Mytilus edulis: one gene and its partners. The protein of the gene in region 4 binds, or shares a complex with, the protein of the main gene of each other region. Links are inferred from orthologs where the notes say so. Each region holds a gene or a part of one and is shown on either strand. Other genes may lie near its edges. The genes, in order: THO complex subunit 7 homolog, THO complex subunit 1-like, THO complex subunit 4-like and THO complex subunit 3-like.

What was found.
Region 1: THO complex subunit 3-like (region 4) and THO complex subunit 7 homolog share a complex: the UniProt entries of both Homo sapiens proteins name them as parts of the transcription/export (TREX) complex. The link is inferred for Mytilus edulis from reciprocal best matches to the Homo sapiens genes THOC3 and THOC7.
Region 2: THO complex subunit 3-like (region 4) and THO complex subunit 1-like share a complex: the UniProt entries of both Homo sapiens proteins name them as parts of the transcription/export (TREX) complex. The link is inferred for Mytilus edulis from reciprocal best matches to the Homo sapiens genes THOC3 and THOC1.
Region 3: THO complex subunit 3-like (region 4) and THO complex subunit 4-like share a complex: the UniProt entries of both Homo sapiens proteins name them as parts of the transcription/export (TREX) complex. The link is inferred for Mytilus edulis from reciprocal best matches to the Homo sapiens genes THOC3 and ALYREF.

What each region holds. Positions count from the first base shown.
Region 1 is NC_092344.1:46,251,192-46,258,701, reverse strand, and holds the start of THO complex subunit 7 homolog, read right to left. Parts: upstream 3,121-7,510; 5' UTR 3,106-3,120; coding exon 2,994-3,105; intron 2,544-2,993; coding exon 2,423-2,543; intron 845-2,422; coding exon 717-844; intron 1-716. Other genes in the region: serine-rich adhesin for platelets-like, read left to right, coding at 4,239-4,326, 4,479-4,547, 6,865-6,969. UniProt on the Homo sapiens protein: Component of the THO subcomplex of the TREX complex which is thought to couple mRNA transcription, processing and nuclear export, and which specifically associates with spliced mRNA and not with unspliced pre-mRNA.
Region 2 is NC_092344.1:105,008,666-105,017,283, reverse strand, and holds the start of THO complex subunit 1-like, read right to left. Parts: upstream 3,232-8,618; 5' UTR 3,158-3,231; coding exon 3,107-3,157; intron 1,532-3,106; coding exon 1,458-1,531; intron 1-1,457. Other genes in the region: adenosine 3'-phospho 5'-phosphosulfate transporter 2-like, read left to right, coding at 3,333-3,337, 6,292-6,532. UniProt on the Homo sapiens protein: Component of the THO subcomplex of the TREX complex which is thought to couple mRNA transcription, processing and nuclear export, and which specifically associates with spliced mRNA and not with unspliced pre-mRNA.
Region 3 is NC_092352.1:25,278,259-25,285,902, reverse strand, and holds the start of THO complex subunit 4-like, read left to right. Parts: upstream 1-4,327; 5' UTR 4,328-4,440; coding exon 4,441-4,701; intron 4,702-6,503; coding exon 6,504-6,668; intron 6,669-7,121; coding exon 7,122-7,269; intron 7,270-7,644. UniProt on the Homo sapiens protein: Functions as an mRNA export adapter; component of the transcription/export (TREX) complex which is thought to couple mRNA transcription, processing and nuclear export, and specifically associates with spliced mRNA and not with unspliced pre-mRNA.
Region 4 is NC_092347.1:86,565,755-86,573,735, reverse strand, and holds the start of THO complex subunit 3-like, read right to left. Parts: upstream 3,097-7,981; 5' UTR 3,071-3,096; coding exon 2,894-3,070; intron 1-2,893. Other genes in the region: CDK2-associated and cullin domain-containing protein 1-like, read left to right, coding at 3,378-3,483, 5,687-5,813, 6,615-6,723, 7,628-7,726. UniProt on the Homo sapiens protein: Component of the THO subcomplex of the TREX complex which is thought to couple mRNA transcription, processing and nuclear export, and which specifically associates with spliced mRNA and not with unspliced pre-mRNA.

The DNA of each region.
Region 1 (7,510 bases), on a different chromosome or scaffold from region 4:
TATTCAATTAACATCAATAGAAGAAAGGTCAAGTGAAAACTGTCCGACAGGCAAGTGGACCTTGCAAGGTACGCACATACCAAATGTAGTTACATTGTATCCTATTACTCATAATAAGAGTGAAATGAACATTACAAACAAGAATGTGTCCCCAGTACACGGATGCCCCACTCACACTATCATTTTTTATGTTTAGTGGACCGTGAAATTGGGGTCAGAACTCTAATTTGGCATTAAAATTAGAAAGATCATATCACAAGGAACATGTATACTAAGTTTCAATTTGATTGGACTTCAACTTCATCAAAAACTACCTTGACCAAAAACTTGAACCTGAAGCAGAACAGACAAACGGACGAATGAACAGACAAATGGACGCACAGACCAGAAAACATATTGGGCAAAATAAATGGGGCATAAAAAAAAATATAACATAACAACAATTCTTTATTAAGGTAATAACAAAATGCTAATAGTTACAGAAATCTTATTTTAAGTACTTATTCTTCGGGTATAGAATCATCCCATCTTACACTGTACTATAAGTTGTTGTATGTCTAATAGACAATATCTATATTATATATGCAGCTACAATTGCACTATTATTATTGTTTTCATTTTAGGATTCTGATACAGATTTGTTTTAAATACAAATTGAAAACTTGTGTAACCTTGTCACCATCCCACCATGTTTCTTTACTATTTCTATATCTTACCAATTTCTTTACTTAATTTTTCATAATTTGATTGCTCCTTCAAATTCATCTTGAAAACATTCAAACATTTTCCTGCAGCACAGTCACACAGAGCTAGGTCTTTCATCATTCTCTCATACTGGGCATGACTGAAAAAGGAACATGTATTTCATTAAAAGAAAATAGTTCGGGTATTTGTTATTTGTAAGAACTTGTACAAATTGGGTATTTGTTATTTGTAAGAACTTATACATTTGTAGTTTTGTACATCTCCCCAATCAGCTTTCACATAAAGGTAAAATAAATTTAATAAAAAGATTGGGAGCAACTGTAAAAAAAACCAGTTGCCAACACTTCATCTTTGTAAAAAATCAGAAAACATAATAAACAAGAATGTGTCCATAGTACACGAATGCCCCACTCGCACTATCATTTTCTATGTTCAGTGGACCGTGAAATTGGGGTCAAAACTTTAATTTGGAATTAAAATTAGAAAGATCATATCATGGGGAACAAGTGTACTAAGTTTCAAGTTGATTGGACTTCAACTTCTTCAAAAACTACCTTGACCAAAAACTTTAACCTGAATCGGACGGACGAACGGAGGCATAGACCAGAAAACATAATGCCACTCTACTATCGTAGGTGGGGCATAAAAATATAAATACAATGTATTATTCTTACATTATATATTTTGGTTTTTTTTCAATTTGAAAAAAAAAAACATTTGATATAAATTAAGTCATTCATGATTCATGATCATTCATTACAGAACAGAGTCAAACAGAAGTATCTTTTTATCATGTTTATAAATATAAATTCATATAACACAGGCCACATGTGCTACTAATACTGTTGTATTTTTCCAATCGACCAGTTTGGTAATTTGCTCAAAACTACAATTTGATTTAACATTTTTCTCAGACTGCAAAAGCAGAGATATCTATTAATTACAGCCAAGGTACATTATATTAATTACAAGCATATAACTCATTGTCAGAAATCCATATTGTCATACAAAGTGAATATCATTTGGCAAAAAATGGTGCAAAATTTCATTTTCTGTATACTTCTTCAAAAAAACACCCCAGATTTTTTCTACGTCTTTGTGTTGCTTCAGTATTTTGTAAAATGAATCTTTAATGCAGTATGTATGTCTTGTCATTGATTTTTGGCTATCTTTAGTATCTTAAATCTCTCTTTCTACAAATCTAATACCATAAATAAACAAAAAGGTGTGAGAAAAAGCACTGACTTATGATTATGGTAACTCTGTGTATCATGGCCATTCATGCACATTTATGTTTTCTGCTCATTGGTGTGGTTTTTGTCTCTTTGACACTTTCTTCATTTCCATTCTCAGTTTTAGTATACAGGGGCTGTTCTTACTCACAAACATACTGCATACATGTACCACATTGCCACAAGTTGTGCATGTTACATTGCATGTCATCCTATTGGGGCACAGGGGTAGGTGTTCAAAATCTTGATAAACTGTATTTTCAAGGTGGCATTAACTTGTCATACAATTGTAAATTTGGAAATTTTCAACATGTTGGAAAATTCCTGCTCCATGTTAAAACTATCATGACTATGATATTTATTGATTATTGCATTTACTAAATACAATTTAATAAGTTCTCAAACATATTAGGACATTAGACAAAGCTGTATCAATGAAAATCTAAAAAAAAAAATTAAGCTAGTTTACAAAAACTATAGATTACTTTTCTTCCTTGGTCTCTGATTCACTTGCCCAATGGAAAAATGTTTTCAATAAGCTGGCAATTCTCTTATCGTCACCACCTCCATCACCTTCTATTAATAACCTCCTCCGAAAAATATCATCTATAAAAAATGTTTTTAGTTTAATAATTTACTATTAGCATAATTAGTTTATGGTTTGATTTCTGTATTTGACTAAATAAAATTGAACTGGATTTGAGAATACATGAATACATCTATTTTAATTATTATATTACTCAAGATAATTGATTACACACAGATACATTTGTATATTTAATTAGATAATTGGATTAGTTAAGTAATAAAATAAGTGTCAAAGTGATTGACAAGGGGTGTGTATCATAATAATCCAATCAACTTATAATTCAATTTAATCATTTCAAAACAAGACCGTAACCATATCCCTTGGCCTTTGCTTATGTCATTTTGTGCACATCATTACCATTTAAGTGCAATTTAGTTAAAATTTTTTTAGAGTTACGATATATAAAAGGCATATAAATGAAAGCAAATACAACAAAATATCTTTTAATATATATATAGTTGAAGTACATGATTTATGAAGTATGGTTGAAATGACTATTACTACATAGGCAAATCGACATAGGCCAATCCTGTTCCATTGGCATGGCCTAAACAACTTTTTTTCAGGAAAATTATGCATTTTGAGAAATTGTGTTTCAAAAAATTCCAAATTTTATATAAAAGGTATATATCAGGTTGGGAACAAACGGTGAAACCCTCTATAATCTATATGGTGTTTATACCTTTATAGAGGGATATTTTTGTTAAGATTGGTTTTAAAGCAAAATAGGGTATATTGGCAGTCTCTACTTATTATGACAGTAACCTGCAACAATTGATGTACTTAGTTTAATATGCACATACCCAGTTTACTGCTAAACTGACTGTATATATACAATCTATTGTACAGTGAGATAGGTATAAAATACATGTAAATTTCAAGTTCTGTCGGCAGAAATCTGGGCATCCCAATTTTAGTAAAGTGCAATAACTGATGCATATAATGCTTTATATTATAGCCAATATAACTAGAAAATGCTAATCTGCCCTATTTTGCTTAAAATCCAGTCTTAACAAAAATACAGAAGGATTAACCCTCTATAAAGGTATAAACACCATAGATAGAGGGTTTGTTCCCAAAGCAAATACAACAAATCATCTTTTAATATATAATTGAAGAATGGATGAAACGACTATTATTATATAGCTGAATCAACAAAGGCCGAACCGGCTCCATTGGCTTGGCCGAAACGACTCGTTTCAAATAAAATAACTTAAAAAAATTTGCATTTTGAGAAATTGTGTTTCAGAAAATAAAAAAAGATTCGAAAATGGGCCACATAATCCTTAGTTGAGGGAATTATATTAAATTTGGATCTATGTTCTATCTAGCATTGAACACATTTAAGTCAATCAATCAATCTAATTTCATAAACATTATAAAACATGAAAAGCATGCAGCACGAGAAGACTAACCATCACTCACTGCCATTTTCGTCGCTTGTAGCATCAAATTTGAATAAAATACAAAAAATTTGTGGCACATTTTCGTTTAATTTGTTAATTTCTATATTTCATATTTTAATTTGGAGTTATTTTTCGATCTTCGTAAAAAAATAGGAACTTTTGAATTGTTAAAATCATCATTTAACAAACTATATTTTCGTTGGCGTAAGCGGAAGACCAAGACCAACGACGGAGTTTCCCGATCTTTGACGTCACAAAACATCGGTGATAGTCGGACTGGCAGAAAGCAACAAGAAAAACTGCAAAATGGCGACCCTGGACAGTAGTCCGTCGCATTTTGCGGGTCAACCATGGTCCGAATGGGCCAATACTGTGCCTTCCCCACCATATAGTGGTGAGAATAGAATATCATCGTTTAAATGATTCATGTATTGTCCAAAAGCTATTACAAATTTCTGAATGTTCAAAACTTTTCCATAACCAGTGTCGTTTCTACTTTCAAAATTTCCCTGACAAATGTCAAAATAAATTCTTATATATTTTCAGATTCAGGTGGTGAAAGCTCTGAATCTAAAGCTACAGACGACAGTGATAGTATGAAACTGAATGTTGAAGGTAATAGCATTGGTAACAAAAGATAAGTTGAACTTATTTTATACACATTGATTTGAATGTAGTTTGACATGGAGAATAGCGTATAAATCTTTTACATGAAGTTCAATACCATTTTTTTTTAAAAAGAGAACAATAAACAAAAAATATGACAAATCAAGTTTTAAATGTTCACTCTACATTGGTTACAACCTAGCATAAAAATGATTCATCAAAAATCAGGCTTCAAAAATAAGAGTCAAAATCATTTGTCATTTAAAATGACAAATGGTTTTGACTCTTATTTTTGAAGCCTGTTTATGACCATGTTATCTTATTGTTTCTGAGTAATATATTCACCATTGATATCTATACCTGTTGCTCTTAAGGTTCATCATAACCTTTTGGCTAAAATGGCCGTATTTATACCCCAAATTTTACTCTGAGTACAGACTAACCTATACACCTGCAACAGTTTTAAGGGATGGCAGGAACTAGATATATAAATTTTAAATGCATTTTATGTTTCAGAAAATTATAAACTTTTCTAGATTTTGCTATCCATTTTTTTTCGTTCCTGCAGAAGGTGCAAAAATTAACTAAGTAGTGAAAACGATTGAGAAGCTCCCCTCATATAATCAATGTTGTGAGTAGTATTGATTTAAATGGACAATAGATGGACAATAGACACCTGTAAACAATAGGTGATTTAACAGGTTTAAACTGTGTAACTGAGTGGACCGTATCAAACGAAACTCGGGTGTTTGTTTATTTTGCTATCTTCTGCAGACTGGAAAAAAATGAACATCAAAATCCAGGTAAGTTTATAATTTTCTGAAACGTAGACTTCATATAACTTTTATATATCTAGTTCCTGCCATGCCTTAAAATTTTCCTGGATGTACCAGTTTGTCTGTACTCATAGTAATTTTGGAGGTGTAAACACGGCCATATTTTTCAATTCCTTATGATGAACCTTAAATTCCTTGTAGATGCTGAGCTTACAAGATCTTTCAAAAGCTAAAGCAGAAATTGTGTTATTTTTGGTACTCAAACATCACACACTCCATTAATACTGCATGAACAATGGATCTAGTATACAAAATTAATTTGATAAGAAAAATACAAAACTGAAGTAAATCACTTTTAAATCAATGGAAATGCTTTTTCTTTTTTATTTGTTTCATTATCAGCATAATTTGAGAAAAATCACCTGTTTTATCTAAACTGGTCTCCAATCGAAATTTACAGTACACATCCAAATGCTTCTTAATCTTTCAGATTCAATTGTTTTGTCAATCTTTTTACTTAATTATTATCCTCTAAATATCTCAACAAGTCAGCAGAATTAAGTTTTTGTAGTCGACTTACAATTCAAAGCTCTTATTTCCTGATATAAAATTTGGTAAGACATAAGAATGTATTAGGGTTGGATGTCTAAAATATAGTTGGAGGAAGAAACAGATATTTTTTTTTTATATCTTGTCTTGTGGATCATTTATTGAAAATTAATTACCAATTGAAACTAAATTTTAATTTTTTTTTGTTATTGTACAAAGTTATGAAGAAATTTGTATAATTTATTTTTTTGACACGTCACAGAGTGCATTGTTTGGTCAATGGAATATCTTATCCTCTTCTTTCTTACAGATAGTGCATTGTTTGGTCAATGGAGTGTAAACTACAAGAAATTTTTTATCTGTCCAGTGCATTGTATAAAGTTATTAAGTAATATAGTTTTGTTTTCTTTCTAACAGATAGTGCATTGTTTGGTCAATGGAGTGTGTAAACTACAAGACAATTTTTATCTGTCCAGTGCATTGTATAAAGTTATAAAGTAATATAGTTTTTCTTCTTTCTTACAGATAGTGCATTGTTTGGTTAATGGAGTGTGTAAACTACAAGACAATTTTTATCCGTCCAGTACATTGTATTTAAGAATTGAATGCTTCTTTTTGTAAATTTATTGGGGTGTAAAAGCGTTGACCGAAGTACATTTTGTATGAAGCGCAGAAGCGCTTCATTCTAAAAATGTACGCACGGTCAACGCTTTTACAACCCTATAATGTTACAAAAAGAAGCATTCAATACTTATAATTACATTTTTTAGCTATGATCATGAAAACACAAATTTTATATATTTTATTATTTAATTCACCTGTGCACTTTATTGTTGGAGCACGTGTTATCATGAGTGAAAAGATGTATTGAGCAATGCAACTGCTTACGGAATAACACGTGATGTGCAGTTAGCCAATCAGAATAAAATATTATAATGAAACATACATCTAATGTAATTATAAAGTTATAAAGTAATATAGTTTTGTTTTCTTTCTAACAGATAGTGCATTGTTTGGAGTGTGTCCTTCTCAAGATGAGTTTTTTCTTGTCCAGTGCGAGAAGTGTAATAAAGTATTAAAGCCACAAGCGCTTAACATACATCTACGTAAGTAAAGATCACCATCATATCAATTGGTTATTAAAAGTTGATTGACTGGTTAACCTTTGAGCCTTTCAAGACCACCATCACAATACATGTCATTTAGATGATTCCAAGCATCAAGCAAAATAACCAATAAATCAGTAATGAATCTTTACGATTTTCAATTTAGAGAGTTCAAGCATGAAACTTGACATGCTTATTCACCTTAACCAGAGCATGTAGAGTACAATAAAAAAAAATACATTAAACATCATGGTCAAAATCTTCTTTCAACTTACATGTATGTACGAAATGCATAAAAATTTTAAAGAAAAATCTGCAGATCGGTTTTGTCTTGCCTGATATAAAATTCACAGTATGCAAGCTATAGAAATGATTACTTTGTAACAACTCTGAAACTATCTTACAAAGCTATATATATAAAGAGGTAGCAGACCTGAAACTTTCTTAAATGTATACAATTGTTTCAAATGTTCTGTATGTCATATGTCCATTGCCCTTGACCTTATTTTTTTATGTCCCATTTATAAGCATTATGTTTTTA
Region 2 (8,618 bases), on a different chromosome or scaffold from region 4:
TGATATTGTGGTATATTAATGTTTTGCCAATAGAAATGAGATGCGGGATTTATATCAATGACCAACCCAACAACAAAAATAAAAGACACATATCATGGAATATCAAATCATTTTACTTACGCATTGACATTTTTATCAATGTGTATTTGGACCAGACATAGTTGTGGAGAGTTCATCTTCATTTTTTGTGTATGCATGATCTGGTATTTGTGTACTCATTTGGTCAGACAATATACATATGCATGATCTGGTATTTGTGTACTCATTTGGTCAGACAATATACATATGCATGATCTGGTATTTGTGAACTCATTTGGTCAGACAATATACATATGCATGATCTGGTATTTGTGTACTCATTTGGTCAGACAATATACATATGCATGATCTGGTATTTGTGTACTCATTTGGTCAGACAATATACATATGCATGATCTGGTATTTGTGTACTCATTTGGTCTGACAATATACATATGCATGATCTGGTATTTGTGTACTCATTTGGTCTGACAATATACATATGCATGATCTGGTATTTGTGTACTCATTTGGTCTGACAATATACATATGCATGATCTGGTATTTGTGTACTCATTGGGTCTGACAATATACATATGCATGATCTGGTATTTGTGTACTCATTGGGTCTGACAATATACATATGCATGATCTGGTATTTGTGTACTCATTGGGTCTGACAATATACATATGCATGATCTGGTATTTGTGTACTCATTGGGTCAGACAATATACATATGCATGATCTGGTATTTGTGTACTCATTTGGTCTGACAATATACATATGCATGATCTGGTATTTGTGTACTCATTTGGTCTGACAATATACATATGCATGATCTGGTATTTGTGTACTCATTTGGTCTGACAATATACATATGCATGATCTGGTATTTGTGTACTCATTTGGTCTAACAATAATTATATACATATGCATGATCTGGTATTTGTGTACTCATTTGGTCTAACAATATACATATGGTCTGGTTAATTAACACAATGAATGTTGTAAAATTAACATTTGATACTGTATATTTCCTCAGGTATGCCCCTTTTGAGTTGTCATCAAAAAAGGAGAAAATCAAAATGAAAATTTTATTACAACTGCATACACAGGGTGTAACTGAAAAGTAGTTAATAGTTTTAGAAGTTACAGTATTTTGGTTTGTAGTCAAGTTTGTTTGAATTAATGAGCCATAACGAGTGAAGCATTCCCATAGTATGACTTTGATGCAACAAACTGTTTGTCATGCATTTCATGTGATGGTCCAAAAACACATATGGTCTGGAACATATACATGTAAAAGAGATATTCATGATACTGGATATATACTTAGTTATACTACTAACCGTATTTATATAAATATGTTATTTTCTTTGGGACATGGATTTAGCAAATAAATAAGCAATATACTCTTTTCTGTCTCTTTAATACCCACCTTCCATTGTATGATTTGTATACTGTAATGCACTCCACATTAGACTTTTGCAACAGAGATTCTCTCAAAGCACTCTGAAATAATAAGTAAGTTTTTTAGTTTAAAAAAAATCAACAGTCATACATGTGCATGTATATGAAAACAAGACTGCTACTTTTATTTTGGATGTAACCTACTACCAATTCACCAACATTCCAACTGACTCCATTTTCAGAAAACAATATCTGTAACAAACATTAACTTTTAGCTACCCCTTTACAATCAATGAAAGTCCCAACTATGTATTGGCTTCCGAAGCTACACAAAACACCTTACAAATATAAATTTAATTCGTCTACAAGCCATTGTTCCACTATTTAATTATCTATTCTTCTTACCAGTACACTTGGTACAATCAAAAACCTGATAATAAATTGTTCAAATAAGGCCTTCGAAAATAGTGGAATAAATTACTTTTGGAGTGTCAAAAACTCGTTGGAAGTACTTGATAAATTGCATGCTTATATTGGTGATTTTGAATCTGTTCAAAGTTTTGATTTTTCTACCCTATATACCACATTGCCTCACATTCTCATTATGAAAAAATTCACACCCCTAATTAAATGGACATTTAAAAAGTCAGAATGTGACTATATATGTTCACTCTTTTAGGTCATTTTTTAGTAGCAATAAACAAAAAAAACTATGTCAATTGGACATGCTTTGATATTATATCTGCCCTTCAATTTTTATTAGATTTATTAGATCTCTTTGGAGATTCCCTATATCGTCAGGTTATCGTAAATCCAATGGGGACCTGTTTTTGTATTGCTATGAGTCACAATTTATGACAAAAATCAGCAAAGACCCATCGAAACAACATCTGATACACAAATTTAATAATACTTTTAGATATTTGGATGATATTTTGGCTCTCAATAATGACGACTTCAGTATGTATACTAAAGAAATTTATCCTGTTGAACTTACTTAATAAAGCTAATACTAGCAATGACCACTGCCATAAGACATAAGACATAAAGCTTTATTTAGAGTTGGTATAAGCAAGCAATTACAAACATAAGCTCTGAAGAGCTTTTAAAACCGAAAATCCTCGATCTTGATATCTATATCATTAATGAAAAGCTTAATACTAAAATTTATGATAAAAGAGATGATTTCTCATTTCCTATCGTTAATTATCCATTTTTAGATGGTGACATTCCCTTGTCACCATCTTACGGAGTTTATATATCTCAACTTGTATGATTCGCTCGTGTATGTAACAATGTTTTAGATTTTAACAAGAAAAATTTATGTATTACTGAAAAATTATTTATACACCATTTTTCATGTTCTAAAAAATAAGTGATAAAACACTCAAATTCCTATTTGCTGACAACATAAAAGAGAAACAAACAAATAGAACCAATGTTTGTATAACTTTTAGTCTATACTACGTTTATTACATGGCCGAAACGACCAAGACCGAACCGGCTCAATGACAATGGCCGAAACGTCTTGTTTCCCAAAAAAATATGTAGGATTGTTTGAAGAAATTGTTGTTGTCAAATTTTCATTTAAATGAACATGTAAAAATAAGTGTCTTGTTGGTTTAATTCAAGCTCAATTTAAAATTTGAAAAAGTTATCTAAAAGTGATGGAATTACTGTAAATTTTCCCACAGATCCCAGAAAGTTAAATCCGATGGAGGCTGCCATCTTGAAATTTTCCGCAATATTTGATGACGTACTTCACACTTCCGGTCATATTTTGACGTTTCGCTGGCCCACGAAACACCGACTAGTGGTTGGCAATGTGCATACCTTAACTATTTAAGTGGAAATGAATATTTGACAGTCAAGGTCGTTAAAAACTTCCATTTGACAACCAAAAATGATGTAATTTTATATTATATAGATTGTCTTTGCCCTGCAAACCAACACCCCATTCTTAGACTATCTAAAAAAAAGAAGAACAAGACCATATATAGCAGGGCTAATGGCACAACCATAGGCTTTAAACTGAATATGAGGCAGGCATTACCTGTGAATGGGGACGAAGTTTGTTTAAATTATTTTTTTTGTAATTTAAATATTTGTTAAAAAAATATCCTTTACTATGTTTAGTGGACCATGAAATGCGGTAAAATCTCTAATTTGGCATTAAAATTAGAAAGATCATATCATAGGGAACATCTTTACTAAGTTTCGAGTTGGTTTGACTTCAACTTCATAAAAAATTACCTCGACAAAAACTTTAACCTGAAGCGGGACAGACGATCGGACGGACGAACGAACAAGCGGATGAACAAACGGACTAACAAACGGACTAGAAAACATAATTCCCATAAATGGGGCATAAAAATTTATTGTTGAAAGTGAAAACTTTAACCTGAAGCGGGACAGAAGGACGGACGGACAACGAACATGAAAACATAATTCCCATAAATGGGGCATAAAAGTTTATTGTTGAAAGTGAAAGTAGTAATTTGGCCAAAATGAAAGTAGGGTAGAGATTAGAGGGAGGCTGGACTTATTCTGGACGTTTGGATCGGGTGTTTTTAAACTCTGGAATATTATTTTTTTTTAATTTCGGGATGTCAGCTTATGAATTTCGTTAAAATACGCACCTCAGGATTTCATTTTTTTAAAAGCCCGGGACTTCGGGATCAGGGCCCCTCAGACCACCCCTCAAATGAGCCTTAGTCATTTATATGAGATCCAAATCCTACCATTGGCATGTTAATAGGGCTCTCAAAAGGAAAAGCATTGATGGATTGTCCTACAAGCATATTTTATTAGAATAATAATGCATGATCTATAAGCAGTTTCATTTATTTCATGTTTGAAGCGGTGCAAATTTTTAATTTAATTTGACTTTTATAAAAAAAAAAATGCATTGTAGCAAAGGTGAAGAATAATTGTGGTATAATGCCAGAAACACGAAAATTATTGAATTTAACAGAAAGGAAACACATAACAGATTTTGGAAAAAAAGATAGAGGGCTTTTGATACCTTATATGAAATTCTCCAACCATAATAAATTTTACAAAAATTCATCCTACAACAGTTTACAAGCTGTATATGCCCGCGATTTCGCGGGTGTGTTCTAGTATTATAATATTGATTTTGGGTCACTTGTGCACAAAAATGAAATTGAGGTCAAGGTTATATTTTAAATTTTTACTTTTCCTTGTTTTATGATCTCCTCTCTCACTTTTAAGATATAGATACAAGAACTATTGAAAAATGTTGGCCTGATTGTGATGTAGATATGATTCATTTGGTCTGAAACAATCCAATGACATCTTATATGAGTTATTGTCCCTGAAATTATTAAATTTAAGATGAATTGATTATTACTCTAACTTGGTACATGATAAAGCCATACGGTCTTTAACAATCTGTTGGGTGACATATAACCTTGAAAAGTATCACCTGGAGGTAACCTTGAGTAAATTGTAAGTAGCTATTTGTGCACTTATTCCTTTGAAAAGTACCTTAAAACTTTTTTTTTAGATAAGCATACAAAAACCTAATATTTGAGATCAGAAGTGACCTTCAATAAACCAGTACCTTATATCTCCCTTATTACAGGCAAAAGTATATAGAAACTATATATTTTGGGAATCCGTGTGAATAAAGCTATCTTATGAGACTGGAAGTGACATATTTAACCAGAAGTTGATAATTATCTCCCTTGTTTCATGCAAAAATATATAGAAACATATATTTCATGTATTTATTGAATCAGTATGAATAAATCTTTATGCTTGGATGCCAATAGTAACTTTGAGTTAACTAGAAGTAGCTTCTTATTGATAATTTAGAAAAATTGATGTGGAAAGACCACCAATTGTTCTGTGAACAATTGATTTTTAATATAACTTTAGTGAATGTTCTTACATGTGTCATTGATAGGCCATATGTCCTGATTCTTTAAGGTATGGATGATCCACTGGAATCTTCACACATCACTACAGGCCTGGCAGTCCAGGCAGTCCAGGCTTGTAAAATTTCTTTCAAGCATGTAAAAATCATCTCTACAGGCCAACAAAATCTAACTAAATTCTCAAAAAATTGAGATACGAGCCTGCTGATTAAAATATTTATTGTGAAGACTGTGAGTGTGACCACTATTTGAAGTTTTGTCACCAGATGTATAACCTGGTGAATGATTTTGTGTACATGTATTGAATAATGTTTTCTTATTCAGATATGTTTTTATTTACAAAGTTTCTTTTTCTTATGACAGACTTCTTTTTGTGACTTGTAGGTTTGAGAGAGTTCACCTTTAAAAAAAAACCTAGGAGCTTGTATATGTGTGTCATAGTTGAATCACATCAGTTGATGCATGATTGAAGTTTTTCAGGTTATCATGGTCATTTTTTTTCACTGGCTAAGATTCAAGATTTTTAATAATTTGAATCAAGAAAATTCTATCTTTTACCAGCATGCGTACAACCATTTTAGATATCATTAATTGAAAGATATACAGTCATTAAATTTGTGGACATTTGTAAAATTAATTGTATGGTAATTATATATTGATTTTTATCCATATAGAAACAGATGGTAAAAAATCAATGATGTTCAAAATGATATTTCAGTTATTATAATTTAAATATATACATGTAATGTAAAGAAATGATTCAATGTTTTTAACTAGAGCTAGGAGTCGGCTGTTTAAGTGTTTGGAAAATTCCTATTGTATTAGAGCTTGTATTTGTAAAGTAGATGTATGTAAACAAAATTCATGAACAAAATTAAATACTCGCTCTGATTTTGTTTTCACTGACTAAATGGATTGATCATACAAAAAAATACATAACTTTTGCTATATTTGTTTTAGATCAGTGACTCCTCGAGTCACACCACTATCTGTTGGACTACTGAGACAAAAGGGAAGTAACTCTGCATTGTACGAAATGTCTCAAAAATCTGCTATAGTTCCTATGCCAGAATCCTCAAATAAGAAAACAACAGAACTTAAGATTGGATTTTTTGATATATCAGGACAATCGCCAACTATGCAATTCATCCTGCTTACAGCTGCAGTGTTTGTTTTTTATTTGGTATATGGTTATATGCAAGTAAGTTACAAACATTATAACAATATTCCTTTTTGATGATGTACCCATATTTATGATCATTGTGCTTTGATGGTTTTTATACGACTGCAAATTTTGAAAAAATTTTCGTCGTATATTGCTATCACGTTGGCGTCTGCGTCGTCGTCGTCGTCGTCGTCGTCGTCGTCGTCGTCGTCGTCCGGCGTCCGAATACTTTTAGTTTTCGCACTCTAACTTTAGTAAAAGTGAATAGAAATCTATGAAATTTTAACACAAGGTTTATGACCATAAAAGGAAGGTTGGTATTGATTTTGGGAGTTTTGGTCCCAATATTTTAGGAATAAGGGGCCAAAAAGGGCCCAAATAAGCATTTTCTTGGTTTTCGCACCATAACTTTAGTTTAAGTTAATAGAAATCTATGAAATTTTGACACAAGGTTTATGACCACAAAAGAAAGATTGGGATTGATTTTGGGAGTTTTGGTTTCAATAGTTTAGGAATAATAAGGGGCCAATAAAGGGCCCAAATAAGCATTTTTCTTGGTTTTTGCACAATAACCTTAGGTTAAGTAAATGGAAATCTATGAAATTTAAACACAATGTTTATGACCACAAAAGGAAGGTTGGTATTTATTTTGGGAGTTTAGGACCCAACAGATTAGGAATTAGGGGCCAAAAAGGGACCCAAATAAGCATTTTTCTTGGTTTTCGCACTATAATGTTAGTATAAGTAAATACAAATCTATGAAATTTAAACACAAGGCTTATGACCATAAAAGGAAGGTTGGTATTGATTTTGGGAGTTTTGGTCCCAACAGTTTAGGAAAAAGGGGCCCAAAGGGTCCAAAATTAAACTTTGTTTGATTTCATCAAAATTGAATAATTGGGGTTCTTTGATATGCCGAATCTAACTGTATATGTAGATTCTCAACTTTTGGTCCCGTTTTCAAATTGGTCTACATTAAGGTCCAAAGGGTCCAAAATTAAACTTAGTTTGATTTTGACAAAAAATGAATCGGTTGGGTTCTTTGATATGTTGAATCTAAAAATGTACTTAGATTCTTGATTATTGAAGTTTTTTTGGTCCAGTTTTCAAATTGGTCTACATTAAGGTCCAAAGGGTCCAAAATTAAACTTTGTTTGATTTCATCAAAAATTGAATCCTTGGGGTTCTTTTATATGCCAAATCTAACTGTGTATGTAGATTCTTCATTTTTGGTCCTGTTTTCAAATTTCAAATTCTACATTAAAGTCCAAAGGGTCCAAAATTAAACTAAGTTTGATTTTAACAAAAATTGAATTCTTGGGCCTCTTTGATATGCTGAATCTAAACATGTACTTAGATTTTTGATTATGGGCCCAGTTTTCAAGTTGGTCCAAATCAGGATCTAAAATTATTATATTAAGTATTGTGCAATAGCAAGTCTTTTCAATTGCACAGTATTGTGCAATGGCAAGAAATATCTAATTGCACAATATTGTGAAATAGCAATTTTTTTTTTAAATAGAGTTATCTTTCTTTGTCCAGAATAGTAAGCAAGAAATATCCTATTTGTGCAATAGCAAGAATTTTTTTTAATTGGAGTTATCTTTCTTTGTCCAGAATCAACTTAAATCTTTGTTATATACAATATACAATGTATATACACTTTTTACTACCAACTGATAAATTTAAATAATCTTTACCATTCAGTGATAACAAGCAGTTTTTTTACATCTTAATATTTTATGATGTATTTAAATGAGTAGTTATTGTTGCAAACTCCATTAGTAATTTGAATTGATATCAGTTTTGAAAAAGGGAAACGGGGATGTGAAAAAAAAGGGGGGGGGTAAATTTTTCTCATTTCAGATTTCATAAATAAAAAGAAAATTTCTTCAAACATTTTTTTGAGAGGATTAATATTCAACAGCATAGTGATTTGCTCAAAGGCAAAAAAAACCTTTTAAGTTCATTAGACCACATTCATTCTGTGTCAGAAACCTATGCTGTGTCAACTATTTAATTTTAGATTTAAAAAGTTTGAAGAAGAAATCTTTAATTGATTTGTAAAATCTTGGCATTTGTTTTGTGTAAAAAAAAAAACCATGTAATGTCAAAAATTTGA
Region 3 (7,644 bases), on a different chromosome or scaffold from region 4:
GCTTTTAATCAATCATCTTCCTTGAAATGAATAGGAGGTAAGATAAAATTTTATACATGATTCAGACAATACAATACAGTTCAATATAATATAATAATAAGTATGATGTATGATAAGTGGTGATGTGAATGGTTGTATTCACATCATATGGTGGTAATTTACACAACTAGAAACCTCTGATTTTTAGTTTTAAGTCCCCAACGGAACACAATGACAACATAAGTTACAAAATGCATTCACATTCGTAACATATAAATAAGGTGCTAGAGTAATCAACTAAATAAATTGCATTTTTCGTATCACACTTAAAGGAAGGTGGGGTTCATTCAATTCTGTATTCTTTAAAATTCGTTATGGCCCTTTTCTCTATTCTTTATATTATATGGTTTGTCCCTTATTCTCTCGGTGTTCTTTAAATTTTAGCACTCCAATATTCACTATTCTTTATATTTTAGCACTCTATTATTCTCTTTTCTGTTGTTTTTTTTGGGCGATTTTCTCTTTAATCTTTTTATTTGTTTGGCCTTTATTCTGCACTTTTTACCCATTATTCTCAATTCACACCTTATTATAGGTGTGTGAAATGAAATATATCGCTGTTTGCAATGAATAGTTAACAGGCTGACCACAACTATAAGAGAAACTGTGGCTTTTTCAACATCACATTCGTATCAACCCGTGACAACAAATGAATATATATAATCCCAAGAACTATGATTGTTGGATTATATTGTCACACTCGGCGAAAAGGGGACGGGATTGTAGTAACACCATTTAGAATTAACATATATCCACTATCATATGTGAAACGGATATATTCCATGACGGTTAACCAACTCATGATGTCATCCGTAAAACGTAAGAATTATTTCAACCAGTTATCTGTTTATCTACATCTATACATCTACATCTTGCAGCTCTGTCGTCACTCGAAAAAGGCTCTTCGACCCATCACACAAGTATCAAGTTAAGTTTGACGTCTTCCTACATGACGAAAAAATTGTATATGATATTTAATATACAATAGTTCCAAATTGTGCTCAAAATTATGTACAGGTGCTGGTTATAAATATCATCTATCTTTTGTTGGTGTTGGTTAGCCATTACAGAGAAGCTTGGTGAGTTTGGACTATAATTCCCCACTGCATGCTCTCAATCTCTAGTAAAGTTAGACTTGTAGTTTATTCCAGTCTCTGGTGGCCCAGGGAAGAAAGCTGTACATGTAAATATCGATCTATTTGATCTGATTTGTACGTATCTTTTAATATCTCGAAGTTCTTCTTGGTTTTAAAATGGGATGGCATAGGTACAATAACCTTTTCACGGATGGCTTTATGAAAGAGCGTTGTACGTGCTATAATTCTTCTTCTGGTTTCTAGTGGTTTCGGGTTCAATTCTAAAAGTGTTGTAACTGTTCCAGGCTCTCTTGAGTAGCTGCAAGCGTATTAAAGGTGATGTCGGACAAGAGCAAGATAGGCTTGTTTCTTGACTTCCTCTGGACATGACCCAACCTTTCTTCGTATGAAGCCTAGTACTCTGTTTCCGTTATTGACATCTTTTCCCCATGCATGACATTGTGTTGGTAAGTTTAGCTCCAAGGTATTGGTTTGATGCGCCTGATCATGCCAAGAACATGTCAATTGATGTTGAGGTTGAAATGGATGTTTTTCTCTTTTTGGTAATTGTAATGACATAACATTTTGAGAGATCATTTGGTCCACTTTACCATTTTGTCAAGATCTTCTTGTAATTTTTTACAGTCGTCCTTTGATGATATCGCTAGGTACGTTAATTTATCGTCTTCGAATAGGCGAATCTTTAATGTTATTTCGTTTTGCTATGTCGTTTATGTATAGGAGAAATCATCAGTGGTCCTTAAACTGTTTCCTGTGGTACGCCGGGTGTTACTTTAGTAGTACTTGAACTTTCCCCTTCCAGTGTGACTTGTTGTTCTCTTTGTGTCAACCATGCTTCTATAACCAGGTATGTTTCCCCTGGCCTTGATACCATTTGATGCAAGGTTGCCAGTTATGTCCTCTGCTGTAATTACTGGTTGCGACTCAAGCAATCTTTTGCTTCTGAAGCCACGTTGGAATTGCACAAGTATATTATGCTTGTCAAGATGGTTCATCATGATGTGGTTGAATATGACATGTTCCATTACTTTACATGGAACTGACGTCAATGATACTCTTATTCCCTTTATTGAAAAGTGCAGTGACATTTGCAACTATAGGCAGTCCTGTGGTACACTATGATCTTTTAATGTTTTGGTGAAGATAAGCTGTAAATATTTTGATATTGACTCTGCACACTCTTTCAATATTCTGTATGATATGTTGTCTGGACCAGTTGCCATGCTTTGGTATACTCCCTTAAGTAGTTTGGTTAAGACCTCGAGATCTGTACTGATGTGTAGATTTGGTATTTCTGGTGTTTCATTTTCAGTTATGATTTCAGTCTTCCATTATAAATACTGATTGAAATTGTACATGCAGTTTTTCTATCTTTCCTTTGCCATGTTTGCTGCTGTCTATTGTTCCTCCCGTAACTTTGAGTGTTGATACTCCCATTGTTTCTCTCTTACACTTGGAACTTTAATAGCTTCCTTGTGAAATTGATGATTTATGCATTACATAGCACTTTAGCAGTACCTCTTTCGGATAGTTTTTCTATTGCTACAAATTTCAAAAATAATAAGGACCTACTGTATACTTTTTTTCAAAAAATATTTAATTTGAAGAAGAAAAAACATTGTCTAGTTAAATAATATTAATTAAGTGTAAATTCAAACTTTTGTAAAACTAATATTTTTTACATCTAACTTTAATTGATACTTCTACCATTTAATAAGCATACATATATATTACAATAATATTGTCAGTTTGATTTATTTTTTTGCAGCTATTGCAGTTATGTTCGTATACAAGTATAGTCATTGAAAAACCTAACAAAGATATTTAGAGATTAAAGTTTTAGAAATGAGTTGATTGACTGATAATTGACACCTGTCACTAAAAAAACACCAGAGGCGTATATATGTCTTTGAAAACACTAATTAGTTTGTATAACACTCAATTCCTTTTTTTTTTTATGACAAGTGAATTTGTAATTTTAAAGTAATTGAATTACATTTAGATTAGATTAAATTAACAATATGATAAAAAAAAAAACAAACTTATACGGTAATGGTAGATTAGAATCCTGAAAAAAACACAGAGATAAAAACTTCGAAATATAAAAAGTCTGACCGGCAGAGGAACAACCTTAACTTGCATTTCTATACTCTAGTCTATATATCAGTTATACGCCATATATACAATACAATAAAGAGCTTTGATAAAAGAACAAAACTATTGTTTTGTCCTAATAATTAACATAAACAATTAATTTTATGCATTGATTTGTATAGATTGCAATACTATATGCACACACATAGTACATTACAATATTTTTTGGTGTATTTCCCCCGGCTTTAACATCTTAAAAAAGGTATATCATTATAAGGATTATATATATTGTATATTTGTGTCTGTTATTTGGTTTGTAATCTGTTATTTATTGGATTTTCTTTCTCTGTATTCTCTTTGGTAAACGGACAGAAAGTCACAGGACAAAAAGTCACAGGACATAAAGTCACAAATTAGGTAGGACAAATAGTCACAGGACAAAAAGTCACAAATAATTTGCTGACAATTGCTTGGATATATAAGAGAATATTTTGAAATATGCATACTAAAGTTGAGGAAATGTGTCATTATACTTGAAAAATGAAGATTTATTTAATTTTAATCATGCAAAAGATATATTTCTTGGCACCATGAAGCCATTTAAGTGCAAAGCAACGTTGACAATATGTTTTTTTTAACAATTATTTGATCATCTTAAATGAAAAATTTTGTTTACAAAGTTGGTTTATATACAATAGTTCAAGAAAAATACAAAAATATTTTTGTAGAAATAAGGGTTTTTTATTCAAAGAAAATATGAATTGTAACTTTTTGTCCTGTGACTTTTTGTCCGTGACTTTTTGTCTGTGACTTTTTGTCCTGTGACTTTCTGTCCTACATTCTAATCTTTATGCCCCTCGGGGTCCAACATTGGCTCATAAAATTTATATAATCTAATTCTTTTTTTTTTTTTTTTATCTTTTACAGTACATATACGCCATATTTACAAGAAAAAGACTAGGCATTCTTCGAGTTTTTTGTTGGGCGTAAGGCATAGTACATTTTAACATAAGATTCATGTGCCCCTGTGATCGAGGCAAGATCCAACCCGCACTTATTTTTTTTCAAAAGCAAGGGGAGACAATCTTATTATAAAATTCCCTATCCCATCGTGCACCACTCGTATGCCGCCATTTTCACTAAACAGAGAACACGAGAACACCAACAAAGCCGGTAGATATTGATTGAACAACGTATTTCTACAAAGGTTATGACAATGGGAGACAAAATGGACATGAGTTTAGATGATATAATCAAGTCAACCAAAAAAGGAGGTCGTGGTAGAGGAGGCGGTCAAAGGAGGGGACGCGGTTCCGGCGGCGGTGGTGCCGGTGGTGCAACAAGAGGTAGACGCGGGGGAGGAGGCTTTGGGGGCCGACAGAATCGAGGCGGCGGTGGAGGAGGAGTGTTTCGTGGCGGCATTCAGAAAAGAAGAACCAGTGGTGGTGGAGGAAGACAAAGCTTTTCCCGGGTAAACTTCAAAAATGATGTCGACATCAGACCAGTCTTTGTTTTTGTTGTGTACATAATTTCATTTCATTATTTTGTCTATTTCTTAATATAATTTGTGGATGCTAGGCCTTAAAACTTTTGCAACTGCACAGGTTATCATTACTTAAGAGTAGTTTTTGTCCAATTCACTAATTTTTTATGCCCCACCTACGATAGTAGAGGGGCATTATGTTTTCTGGTCTGTGCGTCCGTCCGTTCGTTCGTCCGTCTGTCCCGCTTCAGGTTAAAGTTTTTGGTCGAGGTAGTTTTTGATGAAGTTGAAGTCCAATCGACTTCAAACTTGGTACACATGTTCCCTATGATATGATCTTTCTAATTTTAATGCCAAATTAGAGATTTTACCCCACTTTCACGGTCCACTGAACATAGAAAATGATAGTGCGAGTGGGGCATTCGTGTACTGAGGACACATTCTTGTTTATGATTATTATCAACATGCTCATTAATTTGAGGAATATAAATACACCTTATCGTTAAGCCTGGCTGACATGAAAATCTGTCCCATTTGAACTATGGCTTCATACAAAAATGAAAATCACTTAAATTCCATTGTGGCGTCAGATATTTGTATTGTTTCAAAATTTTACAGGAACCTGTGTGATGTCCAGTTTTGAGTAATGGCGGATAAATAGCCATAATAAGGTGTATTATAAACCATCTTATCGCTATTTTGTGCATTTTTGTTTGATCTTTTTATGTGATAATTTTTCATATCATGCTACTCGCCTGAGATGGAAAATTATCGCTAGAAATAAAGGAGGCATGTGGCGTTGCTAATGAAATTGAAAACGTTGTCATAGGTAAAATAGCGATAAACAGATCATCATTGGTCATCTCAACTCGATTGCTTTTTTTGCTTTCGTCTTTTCGGCTCAAGCGAGAAAATCAATCTTGTTGAGATAATCAACAATAATCTATAAATATATGTAGTATTATTTTTTGTTAGATCACAGACAATTGTGTTCTGTGAATGGGGGATTTACTATCTATACTTGTACAAAGTTCATGAAACATGTTATATTGTTGTAAAGATAAATAAATTACCAGCAGATTGATGTGTGTACATGTTTAATCATGGGAAATGCAAGGGAATGTTAGAAAATATAGGTTGAATTAAACACTTTTTGTTAGCTACATGTACCTTGTGATTTTTCATACTACATATGATATATCTGTTATTTATTTCATGATCAGTCTTCAGGCTCAACCATATATGTAGGCTCACCAGCCTAGGCTTGTAAAAATGCTGTCTTGCCTGTCAAAAATATCTCTACACGCCAATAGAATATAGCTAAAAATTTTATAAGACTCAGCTTCAGGCCTGTAGATTTAAAATATTGACGTGAAGACTGCTTGTTCTGAAAAAGTATGCACAAATACACAATGTTCTAAAATTATTTCATGGTTTTCTACATTTACAATTGTATATATTGTATATATAATTTACATGATAAATTGTGAATTGATGAATTAAAGACTAAGTTGCCAGACACAATAACTATGATTTTGACATCAAGTTCTGGACTCTATATATTATTTGTTTATCATGTTGATAGGACTGTTGAATATTTGTCTAATAACCAGCATATTTGCCTGAAATTGTATAAAAAAAACCCACTTTTTTGCTGACTTTTTGACAGCCTTTTGTATCTGTTTATACATGCTGATGCCAGTTAAGTTAAACAAGTAATCTAGAATGTAACACCATGAAACGTGATTGATGCATAAAAATTAATAGGATTTGTTTTTCCATTTGTTTAGTCTAAAGACACACCAGATGATGTATGGAAGCATGATATGTTTGACGGAGATGTTGGTACAATGAAGAGGGGTAGAGGAGGAGGAGCTGCTGTTGGGGGTGGTGGCAGCACAAGTAAACTACATATATCCAATTTAGACTTTGGGGTCAATGATTCTGATATACAGGTACTTCAATTTAATAAGATTTTCATGTTGTTCCTAGTTCTTTTGCTTTTATGTAGGAGTTTGAAATATAGGAAAAGAAACATTTAATACATACATGTACAAAATGCAGATAGTCTTGTTATCTTGTATTCTTAATTTTCAAAACATGCAGATATTTGAATAAAATCTTACCAGTGAGGAATTACATTTGTATTTTATATTTCAATGTATTAATACAAGTTTTAAGATTACACGAATATGTATTTTAAACAAAATCATTATAAATATTACTAAATTAAAGGTGGCATAGTTTTGTTCATAAAATCTTAAGACATGAAGAAAAACAAAATGATAGACATATTACCTTGAATCATATAATAGATGTTTTAACAAAAGAACCAGTTAGAAAATATGATCATAACTGCTCAATTTGAGTACATTTAAGCATGCTTGCATTTTAATTTTTTTCTTCAGGAACTGTTTGCAGAATTTGGTCCATTGAAGAAGGCAGCTATACACTATGACAGATCTGGAAGATCTTTAGGCACAGCAGAAGTGATATATGAGAGAAATTCAGATGCTGCAAAAGCCATGAAACAATATAATAATGTTCCTTTAGATGGTAATAGTCAATGAATATATACATGTTGTTACATAACATCTTTTTATCTGGTATCAAATAGTTAGGTAATTTCTACTGTTCCAGTTGAATCTGAATAACAATATATTGTGTAAATAAAAGTTTATTAAAAATATATAAACACATAAGGATAAAAATCATTGATCTTTTTATGAAGACTAAGTAAAGTAATGTCAAGTAAAAAAGTATGTAGGAAATTCCATAGTAAGCACCTGTTTTGTCCAAATTATATGAAATTTTTATCAAGAGATTAATATAAGCAATAATTTACAGTGACCTAATCATTACTGATCAAGGACTTTCTAGTTTGTGTCAATGCGAGAATTTTATGAAAACTACAGGTTTATATTAGCAACT
Region 4 (7,981 bases):
AAGGGGTTGTTGTTCGAGCTTTCACCTCTTTCTTAGCAAGTAAATGTTATATTTTACTACAATGTACACACTGATGTCTTATGGACAATTTATGATTTATGCTTGAAAATGTGTACCTTTATTTTACCGACGTTTATACTCGTCAATAAAATCGACAATATTTCAACGTAAACGTAAACATTTTAATTTGAACTGTTCGCTTCCATTATTTATTTCATCTTCCGGCATGTTAATTTTTGGTTTGTATAAGCGACTGTTAACGTCATAATTCAACTACGTTTCGGATGTCTATACTTTCGCGAACCATCGCACTTTAGCTTATGGAGGCATTGGACTTAAGCGTAGACCATCCCACTTTAGCATGACCATCGTACTTTAGCGTCCCTATCGCACATTAGAGTCCTACATATATATCATTAAAGTGATTAGAGCAGTTTTTATTTAGCTTAAACTGACTGATTTATATCTATTAAGATAACCTCCCTTTAGTTTTCTTATAAATTTCTGATATACATGTAGCATTGAGAAGTTATTGAACTTTATTGACATGATTGAAAATGCAACGGGCGTGTCATGGGCTCATAGCACAGATGTTTATTTGAGATGCTGATCTATCATATGCCTAATAAATGTTTTTACATACTTTTCATTTGTTTGTAATTTGCCAGACAGATTTAAAAGATTGAAGTGTAATTCATGTCTAACAGTCTTTTAATTCACATAATCCGTAAATTACCAATAATTTCATTGTATATTTCACATGTCATTCAAGATCTGATAAACAAGATGCAGGGAAGTGTTAGACCCAATTCTTCTGTTCCTATAACATGTACATGTATAATGCATATATTTACTAATTTACATTTGCTTTTTATTAATTTTGCTATTTTCTATTTTTTTTATTAATTCTTTTTGCAATATAGACAGAAAGCAGTGCCCATTCATAACAGGAGATCGCGGACAATTTGTTTACGCTCATTTTTTGCTTATTCTGTACTTGTCAGACAGCCATGTCTGTATACACTTATAGCATGTATAGATAAACTGTTTTCTACATTTTTGTGTGCCTTTCTATGATCAACGATCTTTCGGAGTCCAGATAGTCCACCTTTTTCAACATACAATACAATCTACATTTGTAGTTTCATTATCAGCAAGTCTGACATCTTGAAATATTTCGACCAATCAACGTTGATTTCTGGTAATATATGATACGAAAATATAAACTTTATTGTAAAATGTATTTCTTCAAAAAAAAAAGTTGACCAGACGGAATTCACATTACCCGATGTATGAAATATATTAAAATGATCTACACAAGTGTTTAGTATCTCTTTTTTTCTCTTTTTTTTATCATTAATTTAAACCAAGAAATCTTGTTAAGTTTTGTTTTCTTTACTGAAGGTGAGCGGTCAGTAAGAAGTATCTAATGATCTTGCCTGTCACAGTCACCATTATCAGCAAACCTCAATCTGTAAGTAGATTTCAGAGTTACATGTATAAAGCCTTCTGTTTTGAAGGTGTTTTTAACTTGTCTGGTGTTTTCAACTTGTCTGGTGTTTTGGGTGTTTTTGGAGACTGAGGTTCCAAGGGTAACTCAAATAATTGTTACTCCTTCAATGTTATTAAAAGGTCATAATGCAATACAATGTTGTTGTTTTTTCAAATGATTCAAGTTAATACCGGGATATTGGTGGTCTCACTTTAATTTAATTCATGTCAGCTATCTAGTTTTATCTACAAAATGAGAGCCAGTTTTGTATTCTTAATATTCAAATTTTCCAATTCTTTATTAACTTTGAGCCTTACGGCTCATCAGTATAAACAAGTACATGTACAGTGTATACATATGGCATAATACACACCCTCCATTACTCCTAAATCACAAAAAATACAATTTCTTTCATTTCTATTAGGGAGCTACCATGTGATTTTTATAGGGGGGGGCTAGGATGAAATTTGAAAAAAATAGGCAGGACAGGAATTTTGAGTAAAAAAAATAGTCAGGATGAGACACTTGCAAAAAAAAAAGTCAGGACTACAATTTAGGTAATAAAAAGTCAGGATAAACTAAAAAAAACAAAACAGCAGGACTGAACAGCGTGAAAAATAAAAAGGCAGGACAGAGATTACAGCTAAAAAAAATGCAGGACAAAAATTTTCATCCTAGCACCCTCCCCCCCCCCCCCCCCATAAAAATCAAATGGTAGCTCCCTTAGTACAAACAATAGTTTCAATACAAAGATTATGTGAAGACATTTACAAAAAAGTAAAGGAATTCAATTTTGCAATAAAGTATTCATTCATTCATTCAATTCACTGTAATCTTGAACTTTATCAAATTTCTTCTTTGATTGGATTCTAATTGCCAACTGATTATATGAGGTAATTCAATTAAATGAATTTGATAATGTATCTCAGGTGTGAAAACTTTAATGACATGTTTATTGGCTTGATTGGTGATTTATGACAAGTGTCAAAATTAGATTGTAATTTAATTAAATATCAGGTCTTCAAGTGTGCTGGTGAACTTATTCAATTCAACATTATGGGTTAAAGTTTTTATTATAAAGTATATATTTTTGTATAAAATATTTATTCTCTGTACTTATTGATCGAGCTTATTTGTGCGACAGTAAGTATAGCATGTATAGTATAACTATACAAATCCTTGATCAAATTGTTGAGAAATGGTGCACAATTGTAAAACTGACAAGTAGAAAAGGTGATGGATTAATTTGCCAGGAATCTTGGGTTTCATTCATTTTTATTCCCTGGTATTTCAGTGATAATTTGGGGTCTAAAAATAATGTCTACTCAGTGTTTGTGATCGTTCAATGTGTGTTTGTGATCGTTCAATGTGTGTTCTAATTTGTTTCAAGAGCAAACCAACCATCCGTTCTCTATCCAAAACAAATACATTGACAGTTTTGTCATATGACCCAGAGGCAAGTCTTTTCCCATCACTATTCCATGCAACAGAATGAACTTTTGCTGAATGTGCCTGAAGCTCTCTGATTCTGTTGTTACTGTTAAAATATTTTCTCGTGGTTTCATGGAAGGAAGCCATAGTTCTATTTTGAGTCCGTTGGTTCCGATCAAGCTACTTTTTTTAACACATATTTCATATTTGGCGAATATTTGACGTATGAAAATGTACAATATTTCATCAAACAATTGAATTCAAGTTTATGTTGTATTTTTATAAAGCATTGATTAAAAAATGGTCTAAGGAAAAATCTTCACGGATACGAAGTTTGAAATTTAGGAAGACCAAAGGATCTTTTCCGCAACCGACATTTTTCTTCAATTAGTTTAATGACTTCCGGGGAAAAATAAAAGCAAAGTAAACGAAAATCTTGCCACAAGTTTTAACGATGGATGAACCTATGGATGCAGAGGCTGACTCTACACAACCAGAGCTAGGCAAAGAAAATGTGTCCCAAGCTGAAGAACATCCACTTCTGCGACCTGGTAGTATGGGTATGTCTACATCGCCCTTCAAAATAAGTGTTTACCCATTACTTTCATATCATATGTAAACACATTTTTCCAATCATTTGTTGCCACAAGACGTTATTGAAATGACCAACCAACTGTAACTGGGATCATGAATGTCATTATTAAATTCATTGTCTCAAACATAAATCGAACCCAGGACCTCTGTAGCGTGGGTCTGATAATTTTTGGGGGTCTGATCCTGGATCTTGCTTATTGTTTAGTCATGAGAATCCTGTATCCGGCTTTTCGTTGCCACAATAGCGCATGTTATTTCACGTGTCTCATCTGACTTTGTATCCGGTTTTTACATTAAATTATTTTACTTTCATGTGTCACGCTTAAAACAATTAAGCCAATCCCACATCTCACTTAGCACCCAAGGTTTACATTACAAGGCAGGGTGTCTACGGAATGATGCTAAAAAAGTACTTCATTAGCTCAACTGCTACAGCTGATTGGTTATCAAATGTGTTTATATATGCACAGTTCCTCTGGCTGCTGTAAATGGAGCACTGGAATCGCTGACCAAACAATCATGTGACTTCTATATCTACAAGGATGGAACCAATATGAAATAGCATAAAGTTTTCCCAAAGTTGATGACTAATGTCACCAATGTGTTGTCTGTCATCCTTCAATATTTGATCTGAAGCATATAGCAGTTATACTGTTTGTTCATCTCTCCATCTGTCCCTCTGGGAGTTGGTCCTAAGTAAAAATATCCCTTGATGATCAGATGTAAACATGTTATCTCATTAATGATTGATAATTATTGCTTAAAACTTTACACACTTCTTAGTTATATTAATCTAAAGATCTGTATACTTTTTTATTTTTGAGTTATGAGGTCTTTTGTTAAAAAAAAAGGGGGGGGGGGGGGTCACATGTAAAATACTGTAAATTCAGAAATTATTGTGTGCATTTATTATTGCGATTTTGTCATTTTAAACTGTAATAATAAAAACAGTGCAATAATTTCTGAATTTACAGTAGTATTTTTTGTTAATTTTGGAACTTAGTATAGCAACTTTACCTGACCATATAGGAAAATAGGTATTTAGTCGGATCTTAACACGTACTTGTGATTTGGTTAAAACCGGTTTTGTTCAAAATATACGAAGAAATGTCGAAATGTTCAGGACTTAATTAAAACCGTATTTCGGTAGGATGGTGCAAGCATACGATTTTTATTGCGTCTTACACTTTGAGAAGCGAATAATCTTCAACTTCTTTATTCAAATATTGTGTAAAAACGTTAATTTTGAGCTATGAAAGTCAAGTGGCTCGAGTATTTTTCTAAGGAAGTTTTAAAAAATTGCAAAGAAATATTTTTACATTGGGTTAGCTTTCATTAGTCTTAACTATCTATAGATTAACAACTTTTGGTTATATTTATAATTTAGAATCATCATTGAAGGTGGGGGACGATTTCGCAGATAATTAATTATATTGATGTGCCATTTGTATGCAAGAGTGACATTTCGTTGTATTATGTGCCAATTCGAAAAAGTTATGCGAGTATTCTCTCCCCTTAACAGGTTCATTATTTTATAATTAAGTTTAGGTTTCTGATATAATTTTGAATAATTACAAAATGTATCAATTCAATATATTTCAGTTTTTGTTATTGGTGTATCAAAAACATTGATGTACGAATATAATTTCATAAATTTGAAACGTTTAAAATGATTACATACCAATATAAAGAACCGTTCATCATTTTTGAAAAAGACTATGAACGAAAATCGATTTATTTATCTTCCCTTGGTGACAGATTGATTGGGAAATGAACCAGCGTAATATAATGGTAATCACAGAGAGGGACCAGCAAGCATTTTTTAATTGTAGCTTATTCAACGTTAAAACAATTTTCCACTTTAAACGAATGTTACTTTATACAAATATAAGGACTTTGTTAGCTAAATCTACACATTTTATTAGATATTATGATGTTTTATTGCAATAGATTAATATGCTACTTAGTAGGAGATAATAGCATGTGTATTAGATAGTGGGTAAGTAATATAACTTATCCTTACATCTGAGTTCTCAGATTACCTACCTCTGAGTTTTCTGAGAAATAAGATTGAGAATAGAATTTTGATTTATCCTATCTCTGAAATCTCAAAAAGATCTTTGCTCCATACTTATGAGTTCTCACATTGAACTCATTTGATTTTTGTAGTGATGATGACCTTGACTCCTGGTGATTACGAATCTCAATATTGGCCAAAATTAGAGGAGGCAATAAATCATTTGCTGACCATGGCACCAGGTCAAGGAATACCTATATCTTATGAACAAATGTACAGGTAAATAACATATATTATTTTTAACTTTTGCATTTAAAAATTCTTTCATCATGTTCATAGCTGAGCAATACATATGAAAACCCATAAACAGATTGATTGACTAAATATTGTATAAGGTATATATAGTCATAGTCACATTAATGACAAAATATTATAAAATTAGCTTTAGCATTTCAAGATTCAATTTAATCATTGACCTATAACGAAAAGGCACTTGTCTTTTGTTGAAGACTATGTTGGTTTTTTTTTTATTTCATTGAGTTTTACCAAATATCTCTTTTAACTCATCATATCAAGGTACAGAAATGAGACCAGATAATTGCAGACAAATTTTAATTTGAATTTCTTTCTTTAGTAGCCTAAATGAACATGACGAATGAAATGTGCTTAAAACTCCTGTAACTTACTCAAATTTTGATACTCATTTAAAACTGCTCAACTTGTATCAGATTTGCTTTAATCTATCACACATTGTTGTGGATTGTCAGTGGTACACACTTATTAAAATAGCACACAGTAAATTTAAAATGTTAAGTATTTGGTTAAGAATTTTTAAGGAATTATGGTACATGGAACATGATAGTGATACATTTGTGTTATATATGATATACTAAACATTTGTTTATACAGACTAGCAAGAAAAAACAAGTACAGAAATATTCACCAAAAGAAATTAACCACATACAAATTGTATGACAACACAAAACTATACCACTATAACTATAGATGACACTCAGAACAAAACTGATGGCTTTATACTTTGTATACATGATGGAATGACATGTTTCTTCTTCTTTTCAGTTGTGTATATAAATGTGTATGTAAACAATTTTCTGAAAGGTTGTACTCAGATCTGATGCAGTACATGTCAAAATATCTTGAAGGAAAGAATGAGGAATTCCAGGCATGGGTATGTATTATTTTGGGGGACATCTGTAAAAAATAAAGATTTCCTAGATCACATCAAGTTATATTTTCCCCACACTCATTCTCATGTATTACAACTTGTAAGATTTCTTAGCATGTATCTGACATTTTTATGCCCTTTGCCGTAGCGGAGGGGGCATTAAATTTTATCCTTGTTTTAATTTGCTGTAACATCATGTTACACCCAGGGCCTTTTAGCATCATGGTAATGTGATATTTCTGAATGTGATGCTATCTGAATGGATTTTCTAATAGATTGTGTTATTGATGTGATGCTATAATTTTTAAAAACAAGATGGTATTTCAAATTTCCTTAATTAGCAGTATGCTATATGAAATATCTGGGGAGAACACTGACACGCATATTGTAGTCCGTGAATTGATGATTATAAGATAAAAAAATATTTTATATACTTAAATGTTAATAGGTTAAATGAATAATCAATATAATTGTAAAGATTTAACTCCTTTCCAAAAACAAAGATGAATGTCTTGAAATTATTCAAGCTTTCAACATTAATGTATCCGATGAAATAGACAGGTTGGGAATAGCATTTTATTTTAAATAATGCATGAGAATCAGTGTGGGAAAATAAAGTATTGCTATTGCTTTTGTTATCACTAAATATGATTCATGTTATAAAAAGGAATTATTTTAATCTGAAAAATTGATCAGAAATATATGATAAAATTTAAATGATATATGGAGGGTTCAGGTTATATTCAGAGATATCTCAGTACAAACTCTCTAATCCCTAGAAGATTTAATGGTCTTGCGTGGATGAATATTGCATCACACTTGATACAATGGTAGAATCTATATATATATATAACCATGAACATTATTTGTCTATCATTAATAAATGCAGGGTTATATATACTTGCAGGAGAAAGAAGATGGGAGACAATTTTTAGAGAAATATTATTCTGTATGGAATCAATATCAACAGGCATTAGCTGGTATTGTTCCAATATTTAACTATATGGTAAGAAAGCTTAAACTGAATACTCAAGGTGCATGCTCAATTTGTAAACATGTTTGAGGTGTATTCATGCTAGAGATTTATGCTCAATGTATAAACCTGCTTGAGATGTATGTCCAATCTGTATTCTTGCAGGATGACTATATGCTCAATGTATAAGCCTGTTGGAGGAGCATGTTCAAACATTGTTTAACATTTGTCATTCCTGGGCCTTTTATAGCTGGTATGAGTTTTGCTTAGAATGACTTATAGGTGTTA